4 linked regions of the Schizosaccharomyces pombe genome follow. The gene in region 2 interacts genetically with the main gene of each other region. Each region holds a gene or a part of one and is shown on either strand. Other genes may lie near its edges. The genes, in order: atp10, SPOM_SPBPB10D8.02C, rog1 and ppr8.

Region 1 (4,137 bases), on a different chromosome or scaffold from region 2:
GACTTACTATGAAGAGGTTAAAGTCGTCAATTTGCCTGAAGAAAACACAACCGAGTTTCAAGCATCCACTTTATTAGTGTGTCCTGTTGCTATGCTACAAACAAGCAGTTATCTTCAAAATTTGACTATGCTGCATTACATCCCTTATCACGTTGATTTAGATGACACTGATGAGTTACCCCTAGCAGAATTGATTATGAATCATGGAATTGGAATTTTCACCGCTAAGGAGATTTGTGAGAATAACACTATTACTAATGAGTTACCAACGGTATTGAGAAGTGTGGGATAGCAACATAAAAAAATCATTTTGCCTCGTTGTGTACTCTTAAGATTGAGATTCGCTCGTCATGCTACATTTTAATACTGCAGCAATTGCGATTAGAAGTTACCGTTTTCTTGAAATGTTTCGTATCCTTATTGTTAATCCTTCTTTATTGTTTTAAGGGTCAGAAAGTTCAATACTTAACTTTTATTAAGTAAACTGATCTAATTGTTAAATTCATTGGCATTTGTTTAATTTTTTTTCTAATATATTTGGGTTTTAATTTTAATTTATTTATGAAAAGCTGAGAGAATATTTAGTTCACTAAATCTTTCGCGGTTATTTAATCGCGAAGCTTGCATTCGTTCGATGAATGATGATTAATTGTTATATGTTGATTCTATTGATCATATTGTTGTCTATTTTCTTCAGCACAACACTGTTAATCGCCTGTTCCGATCCGATCTATGACAAAACTTAGCTGATTGAGTCTTCAACTTGTCATATTCAATTCTAACCAATTTTGTTAATAATAAAATAGTACTGACTCATCCCGATATGTTCAATGTGCTTATATCATACATAACATAACGTATTAACACAGATTGGGAGCCATTTGAATTCGTTTTACGCAAACAACGACTATATTAGCTTACATACGCCAATATACTAATACTAGTTCAACGATTTATTTGTTGACGGAGAATTATTGCGCACTTAGTTATTTTTTTGTATCACTAACTACTTTAGTAGGTTCACTTTCATAAGTGGTCAACCCCCCCACATAGTACTTGAGGTAGTAGACGAAGTCATAATTGCTATTCAAGTGAGTAATGTCTTAAAGAGAATATGGACCCCCCATTAGTACTTTCTAACCCACTTGGAAATTGAAATTGCTTTGATTTTTAAGCATTATGAATTAATATAATATTAATGCGTATTAGCTTATATAAACGATTACTAAATTATATTCTCATAGTTTTTCATGCATCTACATAAACAGTCGGCAGGGACGTAAAAAGCTACTCTTTTAACTATGATTTTGTATTGTAGTACATTAAGAAGGGTAAGTAAGGTCTTTATATTGTAATCTCTACGCCCTGGTTGACAGCTGTTTTAATAAGCTAGAATTTTTCGCTAAATGAGTTTGCTTTAAACATTGAATTAATTAGAAAGGTTTGTATTGTTCATTATCTCAGCATTCCATTTCCTATCCTTACATGCACGTTCAATGTAAGTTGAAAAGATAGTATTCAATGAAAGATTCGCAATCCAATGAAAAGCCAATTTTAGTCTTGAATTATATTACAATGAAATTAAAAGGAGAAAACCTTTATCGTAGATATATACTAATGTCCAAAAACAAATTAAAAAACCAAAATGAAAATTAAGATATGAATTTTTAACGTCAGAGTACTTCCACCTGTAACAACAGCTCCTTTCTGCTATACCTATCTATTGAAGTTTATAATAATAATTAAGTTCATCCTTGCGTTTCTTAAATCGCATAATAAATTAAAGATTATTTCCCCTTTAATCTACCTATAATTGGTAAACATGGCATATAATTATTTAAAAAATTTAGTCATTCCGAGGTTGATTGTTAAGCATCAGTTCAAGTTGCGTTCTTTTAGCACCAAAAGTCTCAATGATACAAAAGAAAAAGCCCCATCTGCTCTCATTCCAGTAGGTTTACTGGTAAAACCGACGATGCTTTCTGAAGTCCAAAAGCCAACATTATGGGAAAAACTTACCAAACCCGCGAGTACATCTTCTCCTGAGCAAAGACAGAAGGAGCTGCTGAATGAAATGAAGAGATCAACTATTCAAGATTTCAACGAAGTTCGTCGATTTAATGGTAAGCTGTTTTACAGTCCTCCAAGATTATTTAAGGAGAAGGTATGAACAATTGGTTAAAAGTAATATTCATTTCTGGAAATTTCAAATAAGAATGAAAAAAAATTAGTTTATTGCTTAAAAATATTGACACGTTTTAGAGCGCCTTATGGATGTACAACTTTCATGGGAAGTCATTACGAAATCAGTACAAAGAGCTATATAAAGATTGGCAAGGCTCGCCCTTTTTCTTTGCATTATTTAGCAACGCGTTTGGAGAAAACCAATGTAGGAATTGGATTCAACATCTAGCTCCATTTGATTATCTGCCAGTTCGTTATGCAAATGTTCAATCCAATCTAATAAAATATTGGCTACAGAAGATATTTATAGGAAAAGTTAAAAGATCAATACCAGAAAAGTGCTGGGTAAGTAGACGCATTATTTGTCCAAGCTGCTCACAAGTTTGTTCGCTTGATAAGATAGATTTATTTACTTCCAAAATTTATAACCTTTTGCTAACTAGCAGAATGAATATATTACAGCATACGACAATAAGTTCAGTTTCCCAGAAATAGGATGGAACAACAAACTTGTTGGAAATGTGTATTTAATTGACGATTCCTGCAAAATTCGCTGGCTTGGAACCGGTGATCCAACTAATGTCGAAATTGAAAACCTGAAGACAGCGATTAAGTTTTTGGTAAATAAAAACGTTGGTTAAAAGTAAAAGGACTTTTATATTATTTCATCTTAATTAAACCTTTATGACATATTCATAACTTTGGCGGGATCAATGCCCTTCATAAACGTTTCATAAAACATGCAACTTAATGAAAAAAAAGGAACAAAAGCATCAAGACAGATATGAGTAAAGCTAAAATGATAGAATCACGTCTTCGACGGATCGAGGTTTTCCTTAATATTTGATTAATAAAAGGGATTGACATGGCCGCCCCGTTTATGCGATTGGTCACATTTCCTAAGACGCTATTTTGGTAATCAAAGTCTTCCCTCGTAGCATAAGCTCTTTCAAGAAGCTCATTAGTGCCTCTAATAGAATTGTCTAAAGAGTTTGCCTCTTGCATTTCTAAAAAGTTTTGTGCATCTCGTAATTCTTCAGGAGATAGAACTTCCTGTTTCGCATCATATTTTTTCAAAACGCCATTAAGAAGTTGCTCATCTCGTTTTAGTCTTTCAAAATGTGATTTGATAGTAGCCATTGAATGCGAGTCATTTTCGTCAGCTGAAGAGTTGGCTTCTTCAAGAAGCTTCCTTCTTTCCTCTAGCAGAATTTTAGCTTGGTTAGGATCACTGTGCAACGATCTTTGGAACTGAGACGCTTTTTTCACCGAATCTCTCAAAAGCATAGACTTCATGGCTAAAGAGATCTTCAAATTTTTATAAGAGAAAAATTAGTAGCTTAAGTTATGATTTTAAAACAAACGTTTCTCTTCTGTTGATTAATGTGGCTTTCAGATGACGTTCTTACTAGTATGTAGTTTAGAGAAGTATCCCACTACGTAGAGATTCCTAAATATACCAGTGATAGAAAAGCTATGCTACTAGAAAACATTGTGATATTAAGATAGGATATTTTTCATTCAAAATGAATTTTAAGCATTAAATTAACTACGCAACCAACATTGCATTGTTATGGTAAATATCAAAATTATTTTGAAACATGAAGCTCGTGTCTCAACCAACTTTCAGTCGGTGACTAAACTGATGATTTTTTGTTTCACAAAAGATTTTAAAACTTTTTTATTAGAGAGCCAACGTTTCCCATCATTCGTCTCAAGCACAAAATTTAGTATTTCATTTTCATCATTGAGTTTGGGCATTTCAATCTTAAATCTCACCTTACCATTAATTTGGACAGGAATAGTAACGGGCTCCTCCATATTCTCCTTTTTATTTTTGGAAATGGGCCAGTTAGAGTAAACGGAAGAATTATGTCCTAGCAGCAACCAACACTCACTTGAAAAACAAGGTATTATTGGAGCAATACATTTCACAAGCACTTCCAAAGATGC
Region 2 (4,589 bases):
ATATTTATATGCCTATACTAGTAGCACTTTACATGCCGCTACATTATATATAAAAGTGAACAGCCAATTAATTTTGCTTTTTAATCATTTCCAAGTCATTTAAAATTCCTTGCAATAATAAGCGTATATGGGAATGTAGTTAGCACAATTACTTGCTTCGGCTCAGACAACCTATTATTATAATACAGCTTATTTTATAATAATATTATTAGCTTTTTACCCATCGAACACAAATGAAAACATGCTAAGAAAAGGAATGTTTAAACAAAATTATTATAGTCATAATCTAGGATGCATTTACCGAGTAACAATGACAACTTAACACGTGTAAATTCTAATTTGTAATTAAAACGATTTGCTATTACTATTTAAATGTAAACCAAGTTTGAATACATCCGATATAATAATGAGTAAAAAGAAAATAGTGGGTGCTGCTCAATAAGTTTACACTTTAACATAATATCAGACCAAATCTGATAAATATGAATTTACGTAACTCTTTTGATATAATTTGAATTCACTTATAATTGCAATTGATAGTACCAAAAGTGCGTTGAAGGGAAATGATGTATGGATTGTTTGAGAATGTTACATCTTTTCTCGGATCCAACATTACGCAAAGATCCTTTCTGTACAACAACTTAATCCTTTAACTTTACAAGTTCCTACAATTGAAACAAGTTGTTTTTGTATATTGTGAATGTCTTAAGATGTTCTTTATCTGTATTTTTTAACAATTGGTCCACTATTTTTGAACTTAGGAAGTCTAATTATTGGACGGCCCTTAGTTACGGAAACAATTTACCAAGAAAAAAATCTTCAGATATATAGCATTAAGCTTTATTATGATACATCTCGATACTTTTATACTCTTCATATCTTCATATATATTACGTCCACTAATCGAGATTATTAAATTCCAATTGTAATAATTAAGTATTATTTTAATTTCAAACGAAAAGAGAATCCGAGGTCAGTTGTAAATTAATTATTACCACTTAGTATGAAAATATTCGTGTCTGATATTTCATATCAATAAGACAATACAAAGGACCAAAACGTAATTTTAATCGCAGTTTACCCCCATTAAATTGTATGAAATTCGTATCACTCAACAAATCTAGGTATAAATATGATTTTTCTCAGTTATTGTCAAAAGCAAAATGTTATTATATCTAATTTATCTCATAGAAAATATGTTGAATCTTCCACTGACATTTCTCGTTGAAAGTTCAAAATAACGAAAATCGACGTCCTTGTTAATTATCATTTGGTATCTTTTAGAAAATTAATGTTTTCTTATATGTATAAAGCTTCAAAATCTATTTAGGTTCCTTTGTAGTATATTACCGAAACCGATTTTTTCTAGAGTAAAGCATTTATTGATATAAAGATCAATTAATATAATTTGGCGAGTGTTTAAATATTTTCACATATTTTCCTTTGGGATTGATAACTCAATTAATATTTCCTTGATAAATAAAAAAAAAAAGTCAATTCCTGGTCAGTAAACTCAGTTTTGCACATATTGAGTGAGTGACAGTAATTAGTTTTAAACTTGATTTACTGAATCTTATCTCTAAAATATTCAGATAAGTAAATTACAGTTTGATCCAGTAAATTGGAATGTATGAGTATCTTTTTTAATATGGATGATGTTACTCAAAGCTTACGTGATAGCACGCCATACTTCTTCATTAGGTATTTGTAATTTTGCAATCTATTACGGAAGACAATTGTTGCAAATATATTTTTTCATATTTTAATCAACTTGTGGGCTGTCTCTTGTCTCACATGCCCTTTATGAACATAAAATAAAAATTACAGTTTGAGCTGCATAAAAATTTATTCGCAATCAAAAAAAATTTGAATAGTAACTATGGCTTTTAATAAACAAGCTGAATCTAAAAAACCAAACTTTTTGGTCATCGTAGCTGACGATCTTGGATGGTCAGATGTTTCTCCGTTTGGAAGTGAAATACACACTCCAAATATTGAGAGGCTTGCAAAGGAAGGTGTACGGTTGACAAACTTTCATACAGCCTCTGCTTGCTCGCCTACTCGATCTATGTTATTAAGCGGTACAGACAATCACATAGCAGGTTTAGGGCAAATGGCAGAGACAGTACGCAGGTTTTCGAAAGTATGGGGTGGAAAGCCTGGGTACGAAGGCTACCTAAATGATAGAGTTGCTGCATTACCAGAGATTCTACAGGAAGCGGGTTACTATACCACAATGTCTGGAAAGTGGCACCTTGGACTAACCCCAGATCGTTACCCTTCAAAGCGAGGATTTAAAGAATCTTTTGCACTTTTACCTGGAGGTGGTAATCATTTTGCATATGAACCTGGTACTAGAGAAAACCCTGCTGTACCTTTTTTACCACCATTGTATACCCACAATCATGATCCTGTTGATCACAAAAGCTTAAAAAATTTTTATTCGTCCAATTACTTTGCAGAAAAATTAATTGATCAGTTAAAAAATCGTGAAAAATCCCAGTCATTTTTTGCTTACCTCCCATTTACAGCACCTCATTGGCCGTTGCAATCACCAAAAGAATATATTAATAAATATCGTGGACGATATAGTGAAGGCCCCGATGTGTTACGAAAAAATCGCTTGCAAGCCCAAAAGGATTTGGGACTTATACCAGAAAATGTAATTCCAGCACCTGTAGATGGAATGGGAACCAAGTCATGGGACGAACTAACAACAGAAGAGAAAGAATTTTCTGCGCGAACGATGGAAGTTTATGCTGCAATGGTCGAATTATTAGATTTGAATATTGGTCGTGTTATTGACTACTTGAAAACTATTGGAGAACTTGACAACACATTTGTTATATTTATGTCAGACAACGGTGCAGAAGGGTCAGTTTTGGAAGCAATCCCGGTATTAAGCACAAAACCACCGGTTAAGTATTTTGACAATTCACTGGAAAACTTGGGTAATTATAATTCATTTATTTGGTACGGACCAAGATGGGCACAGGCTGCGACCGCTCCTTCTCGACTTAGCAAGGGTTTTATTACAGAAGGTGGTATTCGATGTCCTGCTATAATTCGCTATCCTCCATTGATCAAGCCAGACATCATCTCCGATGAGTTTGTTACGGTTATGGATATCCTGCCAACCATCCTTGAGTTAGCAGAAGTCCCTCACCCAGGGCACAAATTTCAAGGACGAGATGTTGTAATCCCCCGTGGGAAACCTTGGATTGACCATTTTGTGCATGGAAAACCCGTACACAAAGATACTGACTTTAGCGGCTGGGAACTTTTCGGGCAAAGAGCTATCAGAAAAGGAAATTATAAGGCAATATATGTACCTAAAGAAGGAATAAAAACAGAATGGGAGCTGTATGATCTTTCCCAGGACAAAGGTGAGCTTGAAAATCTAGCGAAAGTCCATCCAGATATTCTAAACGAACTCATCGAGTATTGGTTGGTCTACGAAGCTGAAACTGGAGTAGTAACAGCCCCAGACGATTTTGTTGCCGAAAACGTCGGTTTGTTCAAACCAGCTAAGCACAATCTTTAATGATTATTCATGATATTGAATTTTACAATAATTTTTTACTGTTAATGAAACACCACATAGCAGTTTATTAATGGTAAAAAACTTATTGCAAATATGGAACTCGGGTTCAGCTAATTGTTTAATTTAATGGGCTATTTCCAGTCTTTTACTTATTAAACACCACAGTTTAAAGATTATAAAATCTAATAATAGCTGATTTCATCTATCAACGTATATATGCTAAGTTACCAATTGATTCAATGTTTTTTAAATATGATAATCTACAGCGAAAATTATCAGATGGAATGCAAAGCCGAGCTGAAAAATTTAACTGGTTTGGATTTCCCCTACGTATTAGGCTTTATAATTGATATAAAAATACTTTTTTAGAACATCTCTTTTTCAATCGCAACTTTGCAGCAAAGTAAACTATGAGAAACCATTGGGGATAAAAATCGACCTCCATTTTATTTAGCAATGAATGCTAGTTCTTCTTTTCAATCTATGTAAATAGTAACTGAATAAAGCTTTCAGCAATATATACAAACAAAATTTCAAACTATTCTTCGCTAAAGACGAAGATTACTATTAAAGGTTAGGAATCCTAAAGGAAACAAAAAAACAAGTAAATAAAGCAACTGTCTTGTAGTAGTCTAAAATAAGTTAAGAGTTTACGGGCAAGTAGTTTAAAAATACAAAATTTTGCAAAAAAAAAAGCAAATAGTAGAAGGATTTTTCATGACTGTTGGGAATTTGAAATTATTTTGTAAACATTTCTCATGAATACTTCAAAAAGTTATTTTTTAAGATTTATTCCTTCGTTTAAATGGATAATTATAAGGGATAAATAAACGATAGGTTCTCCTGGTCTGTCAAATCAAGCATAGAATTTTCGTAAAAACCGGAAACGTGATTTCCAGAAGAATCAATCGTCTCAATCCAAGTCTTTTCATACTGTTCTTTATTCTGCTCAAGAAGAGCAAGGCGCTTTTTGTTCCTTCGAACAAGAATCCAGCGAATGATCAGCAATACAAAGGGAGAAACAGACCAAGCAATTACTATTTGA
Region 3 (5,664 bases), on a different chromosome or scaffold from region 2:
TTTTTTGTAATTCAAGAAACAATATATGAACATAGAAGGGAGTCAGGAATGACCAATGCTGATAATGTTTAGAAGAGGCTAACTTTGCTCCGTTTGAGACGTTAAAGTGAAATACGAGCTCACTGTTCCTACCCATTGATGCTGCCAATTCGTATAATATGCTATATGAACCTACATCTAGTCAATTGCTTTGTGAACAAAGCTTGGTATATTGGCGATAGTAACAAACAAGCTAGTCGAAAATTTTTAACTAGTTTTTAATTCAGATTTCGATAGAGTAATCGCGTTAAATATATTTACCTGTCCAATAAAAAATTTCGATGAAAAAATGTTTTTTTTCTTTTCAATTATCTACAGAAAACTAATTAATTAATGCTTTGCGACTTAGCAAGAAGTTGTAATACGTGTTTAATGTACTGTAGTATCTAGGAAATTGAAAGTTATATGAAACAATAGATATTTATTTTAAAAAAGTTAAAGCGATTGGAAATCAAGATTTGAATGTATGATTAATTTTGTTTAGAAAAAAAAATGGGTTTTCTCTCAATGTCGCAGTGTCATCCTTGTGCAGGGGCCATGCTCTAAACAACGAGTTAGTATGACTCGAACCTTGGTAAATATTGTTACTTACAATCTTCTCTGTATCGTTTCAATTTGACCAAAGTGATCCGAAGATCATCAGAAAATAAAAATTGTATTATTTATAATTAAACTTATATTATAATTTTTTTTATAAATTGGTTTTATTATATAATTAATATTGCTTTAAAGCAAGTTCATTTTGTAAAATATATATAATAAACATTATTGGTATAAAAGCTCTGAGATTTACAGTATGCAGGAAAACAAAGCCGCCAAGAGCTACTTTGACTAAAATCGCGTGAATAATCTCGAAAATCTTTATTAAAAAGATTCTTTTATGCTTAATTAATGAATTTAAAATACAAATGTAAAAGCGTAATTGTAAATTTAAAATTGCTTCATTATCCCTCCGTGAAAAAGAAAAATATCAAATGATGTTTAAATCGTGCAACTTAACAGCCTTAATATAAAGTCGATAGTATTTTTTCTTTGAAGAATAATATTTTTTATATCATTGAACAGTCGTGTGCTTCATGGGATTTGACTAACGTGTATTGCTAACCAAATATTCATATTAATCCAACGATTGTTGATGACCCGAATAATTATCCAATATTAATAAACAATACATGCTTGCATGAATTGCCTATTATATTATTGTTTTAACTGGCCTAACTCTTTGGGCCTCATACAATTTCGCCACCCTCAGGAGAGGAATCCCTGTCCACAACAGGAATTGACTCATTCTTCGTATAGGAGGGTGAATTGCTTCTTTCTCTCCTTCTATGATAAGAATACCTTTCCCGTTCATCGTGTCTATTATAATCTCTTCTGGGTAATTCAGAACGCCTTGAGTAACTTTCATTACTACTCCGTCGTCTTTCTAATTCATCGTAGGAGGAATACGAATCGTAATGTCTTCTTCTATTTTCATTGTAATTGTCCACATGCCTTTTTGAATTTAATGATTTCCTCTCGGAATAACGCGGGTAATCATAATAATCATCGTCAACTGATGATCTCAAATCGTCTCTTTCTTCTAATCGCCCATCATCGTCATTTTTCGAGTGAAATCCTCTTGTTTCTTTTCTTTTCTGAGGTTGAAGAATGGATTCAAAATTTTTTCCTTTTTCAGTAGATTTTTGTAATTGCAATTCTTTAAGTAACTGTTCTCGATATTTTTGTACTAAAATTTCTACATCAGCTTCATCTAAAGATTTAGTTTTCGATTGTGATTGCTCATCTTTTATAATTGCTTTAGGTGGCTTCGGGTTTTCAGTCCCAAAATTTGTATTGGAATCAGATGCCGCTGCATCAGTGCTGTGTTGGGAACTGACCTCCTCCAACAACTGCTCTCTGTACAACAACAACTTCGACTCAATTTGTCGACGGCATTCATGCTCGCTTATTGAAGGATCTTGAACCCGTTTTTCCAGAGCTTTTGCATTTCGATTTGACTGTAGATTTGTATTTTTGTCATATTTTTTTACGTGAGACAGATTCCGCATTACGTATCCATTTGTTCCTGATCCTCTTGGAGTGGGTAATCCAATTCCATTATACGACTTTAATTGTTAGCAAAGGACTCAATTTTGGTGTCTTCTTCATTAAAGAAAGCTTTTTATGCATCTCTTACCATCTTGCTTTATTTCCCGTGAAGTCGTTCGATTTTTGCTTTTGCTCAAAAATTAGAAAAACTGAGTTTATATAGGTTCGTCGAACAGCTAGTCTAACAAAGGAATCGAGCGAACAAATTTTACCGGTAGGACACTGATAAATTCGCGTTACTTTTTACGTGATATGAGCAACTAGCGATTTACTAATTGAAACAGATAAAATTTTATCCCTATTCGTTGACCGGTATTGAAAAATAATTGATATCTCTCACCTTTCACGAATAGCTAATTTTCAGATTTACTAGTTTTTGAGTTGTCATCGCTTGACTTCTGACATTATGAATGTATATGTACAACGAGATGACGGTAAGTTACTTTAAACAAAATTTACCACTCCTTTAAATTGTATTTGCAAGTTGATATTATCAGCTCGTTATTTAAAGTTTCGATTTGTTATGCTTGTTTCGATGCAAAAATTTTGGGATGGCATATAAATATTTAATACTTGTTCTAACATTGGCATGGTACAGTTGGTTTAGGTCAAATACATCGATTTCGAATTTTTGTGCAGAGTGGGGGCAATTTGCATTCGGCAACGTCTTCTACAACTGTGCCCCCCACTGTGAACCTCAATTCAGTGACTAAGAAAGAGAGTGGTAGCATCGAGGATAGAGCAGGTTCAGGTGGGATGACAATCTCTAGTGGGGAGAATATCAGCAAGCAAATCTCAGAGAATAATAGTAGCACGAATCCGAAGCATGCAAATTCAGAATCCTCACCTCTTCTTTCCAGCGATTTTTCATCTTCTTCAAAAGATTATCATAAAGTTGGTGCGTTTACAGATAATACCAATGCAATCAACATACCTGAACAAACAAGAGGTGTCTCTCATACCTCTTCTTCTCCTTCTGTAGGTACTTCATTCTCTTCTATTAATCTTCGTGAAGTAAAAAATCCCTTGGCAGGAAGCGACTCTACAGCTCCCTTCATAAATTCGACTAACTCGGTACTTTGGATTCGTGTCAGGAATAGAGAAGCACGTTTCCGCCAGGCAGCCTATCTTCAAGGTCCATTTACATTATGCGTTAGCGTTTGGAATGACCAATTTTTTGATGAAAAAAATTCTTTATTAAACTTTGATCCTCAGGTACAGCCCTCTACTAGTTTTTGGGTCTGTGTACCTTATTCATGTTTTTCCAATCAGCAGCCTATTTACATTGAAATTGCAAGTCAGGCGATTTTTAAAGATAGATCTATTAACTTTGAGCTTGCTATATCGCAATCTCAACATTCCATTCGAGCCATGTCAGCTGCTGATATCGATACTCTTCATGCATTCCCTGCTCTACACGTTGAACATCAAACTCCGGAAAATTTATGGCGTCTTCCGTATTCTTCATTTCATTCAAAGAATTCACATTTGGTGGTGCTAACTCATGGAATGCATTCTAATGTTGGTGCTGATATGGAGTATTTAAAAGAAAAACTAATAGAATCATCAAAATCTGTTAAGGAACTAGTAGTTGTTCGAGGATTTACCGGTAACTACTGTCAGACTGAGAAAGGGGTTCGCTGGCTGGGTAAACGACTTGGTGAATGGCTGTTGGATATTACGGGCTGGGGAAGTGCATCTTTTCCTCGATATTCCCATATATCAGTTGTCGCCCACTCACTTGGTGGATTGGTTCAAACATATGCTGTTGGTTATGTACATGCAAAAACGCACGGTGCCTTTTTTCAGGCTATTCACCCTGTGTTTTTTGTAACTTTGGCAACTCCTTGGCTCGGTGTTGCTGGTGAACATCCTTCTTATATTGGTAAGGCTTTGTCCTATGGTATCATTGGTAAGACAGGACAAGACTTATCTTTAACTCCACTGAATCACTCCATTGAATCAAGACCTTTCCTTGTTTTGATGTCTGATCCTTCCACGCCTTTCTTTCAAGCTGTTTCGTTTTTTGAAAAAAGAATATTATTTGCAAATACTACCAATGACTATATCGTCCCTTTTGGAACTAGCGCAATGGAAGTTAGTTCTTTGGGTAAGGTAGAGGAAGCTGAGGGTTCAGATAAGGTTATGCCTACGCATATGGAAAATGGCATTTCACCAACACTAAAAGAAAATGAGCAAACAGTTCAAAGTGTCGGAGATAATGCAAAGAAAATCCATGCTTCTTCAGAAGAATCTGGATCTTCATTTTCTAAAGCTCTTAAATCCTTTGTAGGATTGTTCAGTTATTCGGCATCCAAAACTACAGATACTGAAATTCCATTAGTAAAAAATGAGGATGAAAATGCTAGGAAGCCTACTGAACCCAATTGTCTTGGCTCAGATGAATTAGATGTCTCAAATTCTTCAAACCAATTTTTTTGCTCAGCCCCTAAATTAGATCCAACTTCCACGTTTTCAGGAGTTGCACAACGAGTTGTCAACACTTTTACAAATTTGTTTATCCCAGCTGTTCCGACAGATTCTTACTTTTTTAAATATCATCTGCATAAAGTTGTTGTATCTGATAATGTCCATGATCCAGCTGCCTCTTTTTCTACTTTTGATGGAATTACTGAGCTAAACAACATGAATAATGGTTTTTTGTCTAACGAAATTACTATTGCCAAAAACTGGCATAGGCTTGCGTGGAGAAAGGTTGCTGTTAGACTCGATGGTGATGCGCACAATACCATGATTGTTCGTAGGCGGTTTCCGAATGCTTACGGTTGGACAGTGATTAAGCATCTAACTGAAATTTTGTTCGAGCAAAACACTTCAACAGCATATATGAACCCCATTTCTTTCGATGAAACAACAACCGCTGCCTGGCTTTCAGAAATTTATGAAGATAACTCAATATCAGTTTAAATACTCATACGTGTTAAGACATTCGTTTAAATTTAATGATACTGCATTTTTTTAGAGCATAATAATTTATAAGGTTAAAAGTAATTTATTTCTAACTGCGTATATAACGACTACAAAAATCGATAACCATTTCAAAGCATTTGAGGTAAACAAAAAGATTAAAGATAGTGTATTAAATCAAACGATTGAAGGGAATGCGAAAATCCGCATACCAATGTTGAAAGACAATATAACGTAAATTACTTGTGAGCCAAAGCAACACTGACACTTTGATTATCATCGTGGGAAATACTGACGGAAACACTCTTCACACCGGCGGTCGTTGCAGCCTTCGCAGCCTCTCCGTGCAAAACTACTTCAGGAGCACCAGACTCTGAAGAAATAATTTCGATATCCTTCAATGGAGCTGCAGCGCCTTTACCGGAAATACCCAAAGACTTAAAGACAGCCTCTTTGGCTGACCAACGTCCGGCAAAGCTAGCTTGGGGATTAGGAGCTGCAAAACAGTACTTTCGCTCGGTATCAGTAAAATTCCTTTCTATAAAGGTCTCATTATCAATGCTAATCGCTGATACAAGTTCAACATCCACGCCAACATTTTCATTG
Region 4 (4,182 bases), 4.3 Mb from region 2:
TTGAATCGCTAAAAAAATGCTATTTACGCTTCTTCAAGTGCTCTACTACTATTGTCAGTTAATTTGCAATGTCTTACTTTTATTCGCACTATCGTGTTTACCACACAATAGCGAATTTTTACGCATATAAAGGTTTTAAAAGTTTATATTGCAACTTCTCACCGTTTTTTTCATAAAATTAAAAATGGCAGCGGTTGACAGATCAAGGACAGAAATCTCTGTCCTTTCTGATCGTGTTACAGATGTAGGAAGTGTAGATTTTCCAGGTTATTATTTTGATGAAGACAACATCTGGGATCTTGATAAATTTAAAAAAAATTTAAAAGTTTCGATTACGTCTCTCGATCAAGAAACAATGGTATTTGAAATTTCTGGAATTGATGCATCCATTGCAAATGCATTTAGGAGGATTTTAATCGCCGAGATCCCAACTCTTGCATTTGAGTTCGTGTATATCATAAACAATACGAGCATAATACAAGATGAGGTTTTGTCTCACAGAATAGGTCTTGTACCTATATCTGCTGATCCTGACATGTTTAAATGGTTTCAACATCCTCTGCCAGGACAAGAGGCAACTCATACTGATTACGATACTGTTGTCTTTTCCCTTAATAAGAAATGCGAGTTTAATAAGAATGCCGCTACAGATGAAAAAGATCCAAAGAGACTTTACGTTAACTCTGAGGTTTATTCGGGTGATCTAATTTGGAAACCGCAAGGTCGACAGGAAGAGCGATTTGCTGACAATCCTATACGAGTAGTCAACCCAGATATTGTTGTTGCAAAATTGCGTCCTGGCCAGGAAATCGATTTAGAAGCTCATGCAATCTTAGGTATTGGACAAGACCATGCTAAGTTTTCTCCTGTTGCTACTGCCTCCTACCGCTTATTGCCTACTATACATATCTTGTCTCCTATTGAAGGTGAAGATGCAGTTAAATTTCAAAAATGCTTCCCTAAAGGAGTCATCGAGCTTGAAGAAGGACCTGATGGTAAAAAACAAGCCCGTGTAGCAGACGTTCGAAAAGACACCGTATCCCGCGAATGCTTGAGACATCCCGAATTTGCAGATAAGGTGCAATTAGGCCGCGTACGCGATCATTATTTGTTTTCTGTTGAAAGCACCGGTATTATGAAGCCCGATGTCTTGTTCATTAAAAGCATTGCAGTCCTAAAATCGAAATGTCTAGCCGTAAAGTCTAGTCTTCAGAATATTTCTTCTGACTGAATGTCTGTTAAATTAGTTTTATATGTAATCTTTTGGATAATTGGGTACGCTGTTAAAAAATATACTTTTGAAAGTTATTGATTTCTATATTTCAATATTAACATTTTGTCCTTTCTTTAATTTTAAATTTAATTCATCATAGACATGTATTTTGTTGATAACCAGTAGACCTTTTAAAAAGAAGTGTTGGTTTTCAATCACTACTTGCCATCCTTTGAAAGTCCTTATAAAATGCTTTGAGAATTTATATGAAAGCGACGCCTTTAATTGATGCAACTGAAAAAATTACTTTTCATTATATTTTTACAGGGATTTTGAAGTCCTATCTATTAAATTACCTAAATTAAACTAGACTGATTGTATAAATTTTAAAAATATTGTAAATGCCGGTTTTAACTAATTTGCAAAGAATGTGCCTAAGCATGCAGCAGAGTCTTAGTTAAGTTGCTTTGTTACTACATGATTGAACTATTATAGGAAAAGAAAAATAAAATAGAATCAGTTCTAACATATTCAGGAAACGCCATTTTGCTGATCTTTTCTAGATCAATCCTGACTGAGTAGAGAGTAGCCACAACATGACTCAGCAACAACAAACTTACCCCAAGCGTATACCATGCAAGGATTTGGGAGCCAAATTTTTCGGAAATTGCTGCGTAGTAGTAATGCTAAAGTGTCAGATGCACTTTTACAAAATACGCGTACCCTTTTCACCGCTCCGCCTTTACATTCTGGGTTACAAACTTCATTCACCGCTGAAACTCAACAACATGTAAGGCAGAATTCTCAAAATTTGGTATGTAAAGGCTGATGTTTCCACCTTTTTCTAACAGGTAAATAGCTGAAACAATTAAATGATGAAATGAAGGCGCGCAAGTATACGGAAACCGTTGCTACTTTCAGCAGCCTGAAACCATTTGGCATTTTAGATAGTCAAACCATTAATAGATACATTTTGTTTTTGGTAGATCGGATTAAAATGCTCAATGGGAGAGGTAATGTAGATGAAGCTACTCTCGACAAACTTGATGATATACTTCGATATGCAATTGAACACCAAGAGATTGCCTCTGCTAGGTTTTGGCGAATTATGCTCCAATCATATATCGACCTAAACCTTTTTGACAAGGCTTCATTAATTGCTGATATGAGCTTAAGCCATATGGAGTTTTTACCTAAAGATGAACGAGTTTTAGGCAACCTCTACATCTCAGCACTTCAAGCTAAGATACTTGGAGGTGCCAGTTTTGAACAGTGTGGAAAAATAGGTTCAGCCATTCACGAGCAACTTGAAGGGAAAGAAGTTGTAAATGAATTGGTTGCTGTGTATTTGATTTATACTGTTTTCAAAGATCAAGGTATTAGCAGTAAAGCTCATAAAGCTTTAGTTCAATTTAACGGACTAACAAGTTTTCACTCCGATGTCATTATTTCAGTGTTTGTCAACAAAGGTCTCGTCGATCAAGCTGCTGCTTATCTGAAAAATTCTAATCTTAACGAAAGAAATCTACCAACGATCTATACAACCGTTTGGTTACTTCAAAGACTTTTTGAAGCACACCATTCTCTAGATCCTTTGCTAACTATTTTCGATTATTATCTTTCAGTGTCACCCAAAGATATCACTCGTTTGACAAATGCTATTTTAAGTCTTTCAATGAAGCAATTTGAACGAGATCGGGATATTAAAAAGGCTACCGACTTTATCACTACGTTTATCAACAAGATGTCAGATGTAAAGGAGTTCAAACCATCCATTAGTACTGCCAACACCTTGTTCTCTATTGCTAGTCGTTTAAAGGATGTAAAATGGCTTTCTGCTGGATTTGATATGATAGACAAGTACGGGTTAAAGCCTACTCATGTCACTTATCGGTCATTATTGAAAGCATACTGTTTATTGCCAAGCACATGTGAGCAAATTTCGCAGGCTTGGGTAAATCTTGAGTATCGTCTTGAAGCTATTTCCATTTCTGTTGCAGATAAAGAAATAAATCTCCTAAAGGACTGCATTCTATCTCAACCTGACAGAGATGATCAACAAAGTTGCCTGCAATTTCTGAATATGGTGCTATCAAAATACGGTAAACATATACGTTCGCCATAAATTTTTTTGCACTTTGGATAATCTCATATAGTTCTTCCTTTTAACGAGATTACGATTAAATGTGTACATCACAGCCATATTACCTGCATGCATTAAAGTTCAAAAGTGTTCACTCCCATCTTTTAATATGTCCCACACTTTCACAAATTGAGTTATTTATTTTATTTAGGAACGTTTCGGTGGTGATTTTTGATTTTCGTTTTATGAAGTTACCTGGATGGGTTTAATTGTTTACCTCTTTGATATTTGTTAATTTTCCTTAACGTACATACTCCTTTCTGTTTTTTGCTATAGCCATCTTTTATATTAAATATATATTTTTTTATTCCAGATACAGGTTTTGTGTTCGTCTTAATAGTTTAGCATCTAAAAACACCTGTTTATTCTCAAGAGATATGGATAGTTTGAAATACTTAGAAGCTTTGCCTGGTTTATGACAAGTACGAAAAGTAAGGGATTTAAACCGCGCTAAGTTATGCTGTTAAAGACAGCTTTAAACGAATATTAGAGGATATTTTTCCCGGTATTTGTAGGTATGTCTTGCTAGTGGAAAATTTGTAAGTTAAATTATTATCACTATATTTTAATGCTTTATATGCACTCAAACAGCTGGGGTCGGTGTATGTCATTGTATTAATGTGAGACCAAAGTGCTTTATTGTACTCTATGAATCACAAATTTTGCTTTACATTAAAGTATTAGTTTAAATTTTAACTGCTTATCTCGCAAAAAATACGCTGCCTAGAAAATATACTAAGTTTAAAATAGTAATTCATTTAGGTATGGTGGTTGTTAAAAAGAGCATATAAATAGAAAAATTTGATGTTTTGAAAGTAATGTCTAT

Evidence for each region.
Region 1: mutations in SPOM_SPBPB10D8.02C (region 2) and atp10 together harm fitness more than expected from each alone (negative genetic interaction), as found in Schizosaccharomyces pombe (one large-scale study listed by BioGRID).
Region 3: mutations in SPOM_SPBPB10D8.02C (region 2) and rog1 together harm fitness more than expected from each alone (negative genetic interaction), as found in Schizosaccharomyces pombe (one large-scale study listed by BioGRID).
Region 4: mutations in SPOM_SPBPB10D8.02C (region 2) and ppr8 together harm fitness less than expected from each alone (positive genetic interaction), as found in Schizosaccharomyces pombe (one large-scale study listed by BioGRID).

The regions. Positions count from the first base shown.
Region 1 is NC_003424.3:780,830-784,966, reverse strand, and holds atp10 (F1-F0 ATPase assembly protein), read left to right. Parts: upstream 1-1,695; 5' UTR 1,696-1,822; coding exon 1,823-2,164; exon of another isoform or gene 2,165-2,262; coding exon 2,263-2,529; exon of another isoform or gene 2,530-2,630; coding exon 2,631-2,825; 3' UTR 2,826-2,931; coding exon of another isoform or gene 2,932-3,480; 3' UTR 3,481-3,620; downstream 3,621-4,137. Other genes in the region: smp3 (alpha-1,2-mannosyltransferase), read left to right, coding at 1-292; SNARE protein Gos1, read right to left, coding at 2,932-3,480; SPOM_SPAC4G8.09 (leucine--tRNA (Leu) ligase), read right to left, coding at 3,811-4,137. UniProt on the Schizosaccharomyces pombe protein: Involved in assembly of the mitochondrial F1-F0 complex.
Region 2 is NC_003423.3:82,722-87,310, reverse strand, and holds SPOM_SPBPB10D8.02C (arylsulfatase), read left to right. Parts: upstream 1-1,792; 5' UTR 1,793-1,879; coding exon 1,880-3,544; 3' UTR 3,545-4,082; downstream 4,083-4,589. Other genes in the region: SPOM_SPBPB10D8.01 (cysteine transporter), read right to left, coding at 4,358-4,589.
Region 3 is NC_003424.3:2,561,743-2,567,406, forward strand, and holds rog1 (lipase), read left to right. Parts: upstream 1-2,147; 5' UTR 2,148-2,218; coding exon of another isoform or gene 2,219-2,221; 5' UTR 2,222-2,344; exon of another isoform or gene 2,345-2,414; 5' UTR 2,415-2,536; coding exon 2,537-2,564; intron 2,565-2,685; exon of another isoform or gene 2,686-2,728; coding exon 2,729-5,058; 3' UTR 5,059-5,128; downstream 5,129-5,664. Other genes in the region: protein Cwf21, read right to left, coding at 1,269-2,147, 2,219-2,221; fatty acid synthase alpha subunit Fas2, read right to left, coding at 5,298-5,664.
Region 4 is NC_003423.3:4,393,102-4,397,283, reverse strand, and holds ppr8 (PPR repeat-containing protein Ppr8), read left to right. Parts: upstream 1-1,836; 5' UTR 1,837-1,847; coding exon 1,848-2,027; intron 2,028-2,072; coding exon 2,073-3,338; 3' UTR 3,339-3,674; downstream 3,675-4,182. Other genes in the region: DNA-directed RNA polymerase I and III subunit Rpc40, read left to right, coding at 185-1,231. UniProt on the Schizosaccharomyces pombe protein: Mitochondrial RNA-binding protein involved in mitochondrial translation. The cox1 mRNA is one target but it is not clear if ppr8 has a single or multiple targets.